Linked DNA regions of Diceros bicornis minor. The protein of the gene in region 2 binds, or shares a complex with, the protein of the main gene of each other region. Links are inferred from orthologs where the notes say so. Each region holds a gene or a part of one and is shown on either strand. Other genes may lie near its edges.

Evidence for each region.
Region 1: the proteins of ERCC6L (region 2) and BEND3 are in contact, whole or in part, in a crystal structure (PDB 5JNO), measured with the Homo sapiens proteins. The link is inferred for Diceros bicornis minor from reciprocal best matches to the Homo sapiens genes ERCC6L and BEND3. Residues at the interface, in NP_060139.2 of Homo sapiens: Ala10, Glu11, Ala12, Leu13, Ser14, Pro15, Glu16, Ala18, Ala19, Tyr21, Leu22, Arg23, Lys26, Phe51, Pro52, Asn53, Glu54, Lys55; in NP_001073919.1 of Homo sapiens: Glu252, Gln255, Ile256, Gln259, Leu261, Asp265, Arg269, Val272, Gln273, Pro276, Phe279, Ser280, Phe335, Arg338, Phe339, Gln342, Glu346.

Annotation. Positions count from the first base shown.
Region 1 is NC_080762.1:27,688,375-27,692,283, reverse strand, and holds the start of BEND3 (BEN domain-containing protein 3), read right to left. Parts: upstream 2,520-3,909; 5' UTR 2,303-2,519; intron 1-2,302. UniProt on the Homo sapiens protein: Transcriptional repressor which associates with the NoRC (nucleolar remodeling complex) complex and plays a key role in repressing rDNA transcription.
Region 2 is NC_080781.1:65,242,993-65,246,901, forward strand, and holds the start of ERCC6L (DNA excision repair protein ERCC-6-like), read right to left. Parts: upstream 2,716-3,909; 5' UTR 2,680-2,715; coding exon 2,612-2,679; intron 1-2,611. UniProt on the Homo sapiens protein: DNA helicase that acts as a tension sensor that associates with catenated DNA which is stretched under tension until it is resolved during anaphase. Functions as ATP-dependent DNA translocase. Can promote Holliday junction branch migration (in vitro).

The DNA.
Region 1 (3,909 bases), on a different chromosome or scaffold from region 2:
CTAAGATTAATTCTGCAAAAAATTCCCCAAACTTACTTTAGCCAATAATGGGCACAATGAATAATAATGATAGCAACCATAATTCACCACTTATCATCAAAATTAAGTGCCAAGAAAAAAAGCCACACCCAACCTCCCAGACACTAACACCCAATTATTTTTGCTGGTTGGCTAGTAACCTTCACGTGTTCCTGTATTATAAAACTGGAGGTATTTAAAAGTCACAGCCCCAAATTTTTCATCATGGTGTCAATACAATTCATAAAAGCCCGTTTCTTTCCTCATTGCTTCTGGGGCTTTCTAGACAGCTCTAAAAAGTGGCAGGCAGGACATTCCTGCAGGAGATTAAATTTTTACCAGAATCATATCTCTGTCAGGGTTAACTCCAATTCTTCTCTTCCTAAATATAAGACATTCTGCTATTCCTTTGCTCCTGTAAGAAATGCTTAGGAACTTAGAAGTAACCAAAAGGAAATGTGTGAAAAAAATGTTGCAATGTGGTTCCGTCTGACAGATTATTGCGATGCTGACTATCTCGGTTACTAGGTCCTAACCGGGCCCTCTTCTTGCCATAACTAATGCTTTGTGTATGGTGGGGGAAGAGAAGGACATAAAATTTTTCTTTTATATTACTTCCACAAGGAGACGGCGTCTCTGGTAAAACCCACCCTCAGCGGCATTTTGACAGATTTTAAAGGCTCTGGTTGTACCCGTGAATTTCATTTCAAGGGCCACGCACACACCAGCTAACTCACTAGTAGGAACAGGCTGCACTGACCCCACCTTTCTTCTGGAATCCAAGAGGCTCTCCATTCATTTAGTAAATATATTTATTGAGCACCTACTAAGTTATCAGACACTGGGGTCGTAGCCGGGGATGTAAAACTGTAAAGAAGATACAAAATCTTGCGTAAATCTCAGCACTGAGGGTGAGGGAAGCTGACAGGGTCCTGTGTGGTGATATGAAACGGGAAACTAGGGATGGGTGGTTAAAGAAAAAACAGAAAACTGAGGGGGTGGGCGTTAGGAGTGTGGATAACAAAAGGATCTCCTCCATCTCTCTCATTTACATACCAAGCTAGCCCGGGAGCTCACTTCCTAGCCTCAGTCTCCTGCAGCGGTAGCTTGCTGGCACTCTACGCGTTGCCCTTATCACGTTAAACATTCAAAAGTTACTTTAAGAAGGTGAAGTTGAAAATTTTCCGCCTCTGAAGTGCTAGCCCTATTCCGCGCACCCTTTTTAGGTTAGGTTAGCTTTTGCGTGTAAAATCCTTCCAGACAGACCACCGAGCATTCAAACTCGTTTACCTCTGTAAAAACACCTTGTAAAAAATATATATGCATCGGCACACAAGGCCCTCCCGAGTGCTGCGGCACGACGCGCCGGTAAGGCGAGGGCAAGCTCTGCCCTCGTTTCCTCGTGGGAAACCACGTTTGAAATAAAGAGAGGAAGGGGGCAGTCACGAGGGGCGGCGAGCGCCCCGGGCCCCGGCCCCGCGGCCGGCCGGGAAGGCCTCGCGCCAGCCGGGGTGCACACCCAAGGCGCCGGGCCCGCCTCCAGCTCCCGGGCAGCGGGAACCGCGAACCGCGCCGTGGACGGCGGGGAGGGAGCGCTGCGCCCCCTGGCGGCGGGGTCCGTCCCTGTCTGCTCCCGGCCGCCGCCGCCGCCGCCGCCGCCGCCGCCGCCGCCGCGGGCCTGCCTCGCTCCATTTGCAGACTCGGGAGGTAGCGTCCTCCGAGCGGCGGCTCCTCGGGCCTCCCGCTCCCCGCTCGGCATCTCGCTCCAGTCCCCGCCCCCTTCTCCTGCCCTGACACCCCCTGCTACACGCCGAGCCGTCCCCAACGCAGCCCGGCCGAGCGCGAGCGCCGAGCCCACCGCCGGCTCCGCAGAGCCTTCCGCCAGCCCCGGCCGCTCCATCGCGGCGCCCGGCGGGGGTGCGGGGTCGGCGCGCGGCGCGAGTGGGGCGGGCGGCGGCGCGGACCGTTCCACTCTGCGTCCCCCCCGCCCCCGCGCGGCGCGCGTGCTCCCCGGAACGCCATGGAGCCGCCGCGCTCGGAGCGGGCACAAAGGGGCGCGCGGCACAATGGGCGCGGCGAGCCCGTGGGCGCCGGGCGCCCGCTCCGGCGGCTCGGCCCCGCGCGGGGGTGGGCGCTCCTCCCGGCGGGCGCGCTCTGGGCAGCCCCCCTTCGCGTCCCCTCCCCTGCTCCCGCCCCCACCCCGGCATGGATGTTGCAGCCACTCTCCCGTCCGGCCGCCCCGGAGCCGCCGCCGCGCGGCCGGCTTGATCCGCCCCGCACTTACCTGGGACACGAGTTCTGTACTTTGCCGAGCGGGCCCGCGCCGAGTTTGGGCGCCACGTGGGGGGGGCGGGGGAGCGCGAGGCCGGGGAGTGGGGGCCGCGCGCGGAGGGCCTGGCGGGGCGGCCCGGGGAGTTGCTGGGGGCGGCGGGCGGGCGCCGTGTATTTTCCCCTCTCTTTGTGTGTGTCCGTGCGCTGCGCTCTCGCGTGACGTGACGGGACTCCGTGTGTCATTTCCGCACAAGGACACAGGAGCCCCCGCTGCAGTGGAACCACAACCCCTCCGCCCCCACCCCCGGCCCGCCCCTCCCCCTCAGCGGGGCACACGCGGGACCGGCGGCGGCGCTCGGGCGTGAACGGCCGCGGCGGGGAGCTGGGGCGCGCTCTCCGGGGCCCCGGGCGGCCCGGCGCGCTCGGCAGGCGCCGCGCAGCTCCACGTGGGCCCGCGCCGGCTGCCCGGGGTGGGGGCGGCGGCCGCGCACCCACGGCGCGGCGCGCAGCGCCGGCTCCCGGTGTCCGGTGCACGCCGTGTGTCCTCCCCCCGCGAGTTGTTTCCCTAAAACGTGGTTTCTCAGACCGGAGGAGTTTGACCTGAAAAGCCTCTTTTTCTACTTTTTTTCCTCCGCGGGACGGCAGTGTGCGGGGCGTCTCCTCCTCTGGCGCCCGCGCCTCTCCCGCATTTTTGGCATCTTGGCCGGCCCCCGGCCCCGGGCGGGTGTTCCCGCGCCGCGCTCGGCACAAAGACATCGGGGCGCAGGGCCCCGGGTGGCCCCGCGGCACCGGCATGGAGTCTGGCGGGCCGCGGGAGAGCGACCCCGGCGCTGGGAAACGCTGGCTCTGGCCACTCCCCCAGCACGGTGGCCGCCCTGTGTTGTAAGCCTGAGAGCTAAAAATCTGCCTTCTACTTGTAACCCGAAGTTTTGAGGTTTGAGGCTGCAGAGCGAGGATTCAGAAGTGCGCGCGCTCACAGACCCACATGCCACAGACCAACCCACGGGATATCTGCGCCGAGCGCTTAAAATAGAAAAACACGAGTCACCAGCTCAAAGGCTGATTCTTTCTACTCCTGACTCCCAGACTGGAGATTCCAAGTTGATAAATACGAAACCCCCCCGCTCGGGGATTTTTTTCAAGTCTCAGTGACATGAAGGGGTGTGGTGTTTGTGAGAGTCAGGGAAGCTCAATCCAACAGTTAAGCCACGTCTATATTTTGGGCAAACAATGAAAATGTAAATTAAAAAAAATCCTTTAACTTGCCGATCGAAGAAAATATAAAAAGAAAAATGCAAATGAGCCCATCTGCTGCTCACAGCTGACTGGCTGCAAGAGGGGACCATGTGGCCCAGCCCTGCGCGGTCAGTGAATAGGTAGAATAGATTTTAAAAGAAGGCATATGCTAGCTCCTTGCTGCCCAGTCGCGGGGAGGGTTTGAATTAACGTATAGTTTTGGGTTACCGTATCCTCCAGACCACTCCAGTTGGGAATTTAGTAATTATGCAAGTGCCTCCCCTTCGGGGCTAAAATCAAAAGGCACAAGGTTATCTAAGACTTTTGAGGAACTACGCGGAACATTCTCGAATTGTATTTGGATAGCCCATTTGAGAAGTCAGT
Region 2 (3,909 bases):
CAGGAATGGAGAGGGACAGAAAGGGGAGAGAGGTGTGAGGGAGGGAGAAAGACAGAGAAATTGTTTGAGAGTAGGATTGTGCCAAGGAGCAGAATTATGAGCAAACGAGCAATAGAGAATGTAAAGAAGATGATGCTTTGTGCAAGGGGGTTTCCATGGGGGGAGATTTGGAAGAGGACGAGAGAGACTGAGAAAGATTAGGAGAAATAAATGAGGAATTTTGAGAGTTGAGAGGTCATGAGAGATGGGATGTCATGAGAGACAGAGAAACTGTGAGAAAGGTGGGGACTGTGAGAAAAGGGGGTGATTGTTGAGGGGAGTGGGAGCTAGTTTGAGAATGTTCAGGAGAGAGCATGTGGGAGTGAGTGAGGGACAGGTGCCAATGTGAGAGGCAGGGTTGAAGACTCAGTGCAAGCTGAGAGACCCACTTGCTTGCTCAAGGAAAGGAGGGGAGGGGACTAAAGGTCTTAAGCCTTACTATCCCCATTTTCCAGATGAGAAAATTCAGGCTCAGAATAGCAAGTGACTTGCTTGAGGTCTCCCAGCTGGCAAGTGGCAGAGCCATAATTTAAACCCCAAATGGCCCAACTCTAAAGCCAGTACTCTACCATACCACATCTCCTCCTTCTGTTTTCCCTAAGTCTTCCTTAAGGAAGTCACGTAACTTAGTCCAAAGATGTGCTTTTACTGCTCTGTAAGGTGACCTTTTGGCGCGCTTTTTTTTTTTTTTTTTTTTTGCTGAAGAAGATTGGCCCTGGGCTAACATCCATGCCCATCTTCCTCTACTTTATATGGGACACCACCACACCACGGCTTGAGAAGCGGTGCGTCGGTGCGCACCCAGGATCCGAACCTGTGAACCCCGGGCCACCAAAGCAGAGCGCACGAACTTAGCCGCTACACCACGGGGTCGGGTCCACCTTTTGGCTTTTAACAGCCTTAAAACATTATCTTTTTGAAAAGGGAGACAGAATTATTCCACTGTCCCAATTTATTTCTTTGTACTACATCAAAATTTAAAACTTCTGGGCATCAAAGGACACAATCAACAGAGTGAAAAGGCAACCTACAGAATGGAAGAAAATATCCGCAAATCATATACCTGACAAAGGGTTGATATCCAGAATATATAAAGAACTACAACTCAACAACAACAAAAAACCCCGACTAAAAAATGGGCAAAGGACTTCAGTAGACATTTCTCCAAAGAAGATATACAAATGGCCAATAAGCACAGGAAAAGATGCTCAACATCACTAATCATTAGAGAAATGCAAATCAAAACCACAATGAGATAACACTTCACTATCATTAGGATGGCCAGTAACAACAACGACAAAAAAAACCCAGCAAAAATTAGTGTTGGCGAGGATGTGGAGAAATTAGAACCCTTGTGCACTGTTGGTGGGAATGTAAAACGGTGCAGCTGCTATAGAAGACAGTTCCTCAAGAAATTGAAAATAGAATTACCATATGATCCAGCAATCCCACTTCTGCATATATATCCAAAAGAATTGAAAGCAGCAGATATTTGCACACCCAAAGAGATACTGCAAACTCGAAGAGATACTTGCACACCCATGTTCACAGTAGCACTATTCACAACAGTCAAGAGATGGAAGCAATCCAAGTGTCCATCAACAGATAAATGGATAAACAAAATGTGATATATGCATACAATGGAATATATATGCATACAAAGGAAGGAAATCCTGTCACATGACACAACATGGATGAACCTTGAGGACATTATGCTAAGTGAAATAAACAAATCACAAAAAGACAAATACTGTAAGATTCCACTTACATGAGGTCCCTAGAGGAGTCAATTTCAGAGACAGAAAGTAGAATGGTGGTTGCCAGAGGCTGGGGTAGGGGGAATGAGGAGTTGTTTAATAGGTACAGAGTTTTAGTTTTGCAAGATGAAAAGAGTTCTGGAGATGGATGGTGGTGATAGTTGAACAATGTTAATGTATTTAATACCACTGAAGTGTGCACTTAAGAATTGTTAAGATGGTAAATTTTATGTTGTACTTTATCACAATTAAAAAAATTTTTTAAATGCTCTTTCCATCACCATGCCCCCCACCCTTGGCCGTCTGGTGACTGCTTACTCATTTTTCAACACAAATGTCTCCTCCCCTTTGCTCACCGACCCTTGTAGTTGGCCATTTCCTCCTTTATGCCCATACCGTGCCTTACACATTATACCTCTTACAGCACCTGTCAAACCTCATAGCGATTATTGGTTTACCTATCCCTTTCCACTACTAGATTATAAGCAATTTGGGGACAGGGACAGTGCTTTACTCATCTCTGTAGTTTCTAGGCCTGGGGCTTGATAGGCTGTAAAGAATCAAGAAAGGCTTGACTAATTGAAGTTCTGGCTCTTAAGGAGTTCATGCTGGAGAGTTATTTGACCAAAAACGGGGGCATCAGGGAGCTCCCCAGGCTTTAGAAATCTAAACAGAGTCCCACGCCCTACTCCGAGAATGTGGGCGAGCGTCTCACAACGCTCCGTCTGAGCAGTTTGGGCCCCTGGGAGGGTCCGAGGGCCCCCCACTCCCGGCCAGGGCCTGCGGCCTAGACCAGCCCAGCGGCCCAGACATACCTCAGGTAATGGGCAGCCTGCTCTGGGCTTAAGGCCTCGGCTTCCGCAACCCCTCGGGACGCCTCCATGACCCTCACTCTGGGTTTCTGTATCTCGGCCGGAGATTGAATTTCGCTCGCTCCCGCCCCGCGCACGCGACGTGCGCACGTACGCTGGGCAGGGCCAACCGTCGGCCTCGCAGCTGGCCAATCCGCAGCCCCGCACTCCGGCGCCATCGCCTGAGCCCCGCCCACGAAGGTCGCGCGCATGCGTCTACGCGCGCTGGCGCTAAGAGGCAGTCGCGGCTCCCGTGGTTAGGGGTGTTGCGTCATTTTGTTTTCTGTTGCGTTTTCATTCCGATCCAAACTCTGCTACTGCAAATTCGTGTGTGTGCTGTCCTCGTGCGTGGAGTAGACTGCTTGATATGATCTCATTTTAGTGGCCCTTAGAGACCTCCTCCAGAGGCTGCGCCCCAAATATCTTCCTTTCCCTGCTCGCCAATGCCTGAGCATGCTTTGAATTCAAACATGGGAGGCATAGTCCCTGTGACTTAAACTCACACTGAAGAAGGGTCTTCAAGAACCAAGCCAAAGCTCTCATTTAAGAAATAAATAGTGCTGCGGTGCATGGTCACCAGTTCAGAAGCTCCAACCGAGCTGCAGTCATATTTTCAAAGGCAGACCTCAGGGCTTCAGGAAACGAGGTGATGGAGTTTAAGTGGCTTGCTTGGGTGATGCTAAATAGGAGGTTGTGGGCCAACAAAAATTGTCCTTGTTCATATACTAGTAAGAACAGGGACATTATGCTTCCTCAAGGCACTAATTAACATTCAGCATTTGAAAACTCACCTATTGGCCCAGTCATATGCTACCGTACATCCAGAGCACTTTAAGCTTTTTGTAAATTTCATAGACCGTTAGGAGTTAAAAAGGGATCTTGGAGAAGATGGGCTATTTTCCTGGTTTATATCACTTTAAATCATGTGTTCACATGGCTTTAGGCTCTCTGTTAAAAGGGCTTTTGGTATATTACCATTATTCCTATTTTTCAGACGTCAAAACTGAGGCTCAGAGAAAGAAAGTGACTTTGCCTAAGGGAAATGTCAGAGCCAGAATTCAATAACAGGTCTATATGGACACAAATCCGTACTTGTTCACTGTGTCACACCGTCTGTTGCTGGAAAGAAGAGGGAAGTGGTGGGAAATGAGATTGATGAGGTAATTGGAGGCCAGTTTGTGAAGGAGCTTGTTAACATGCTGAAGTGTTTACATCACTTCTTTTCCTGGAGGCAAGTTTGGCGTGGGGTGGGTCGAATGTGC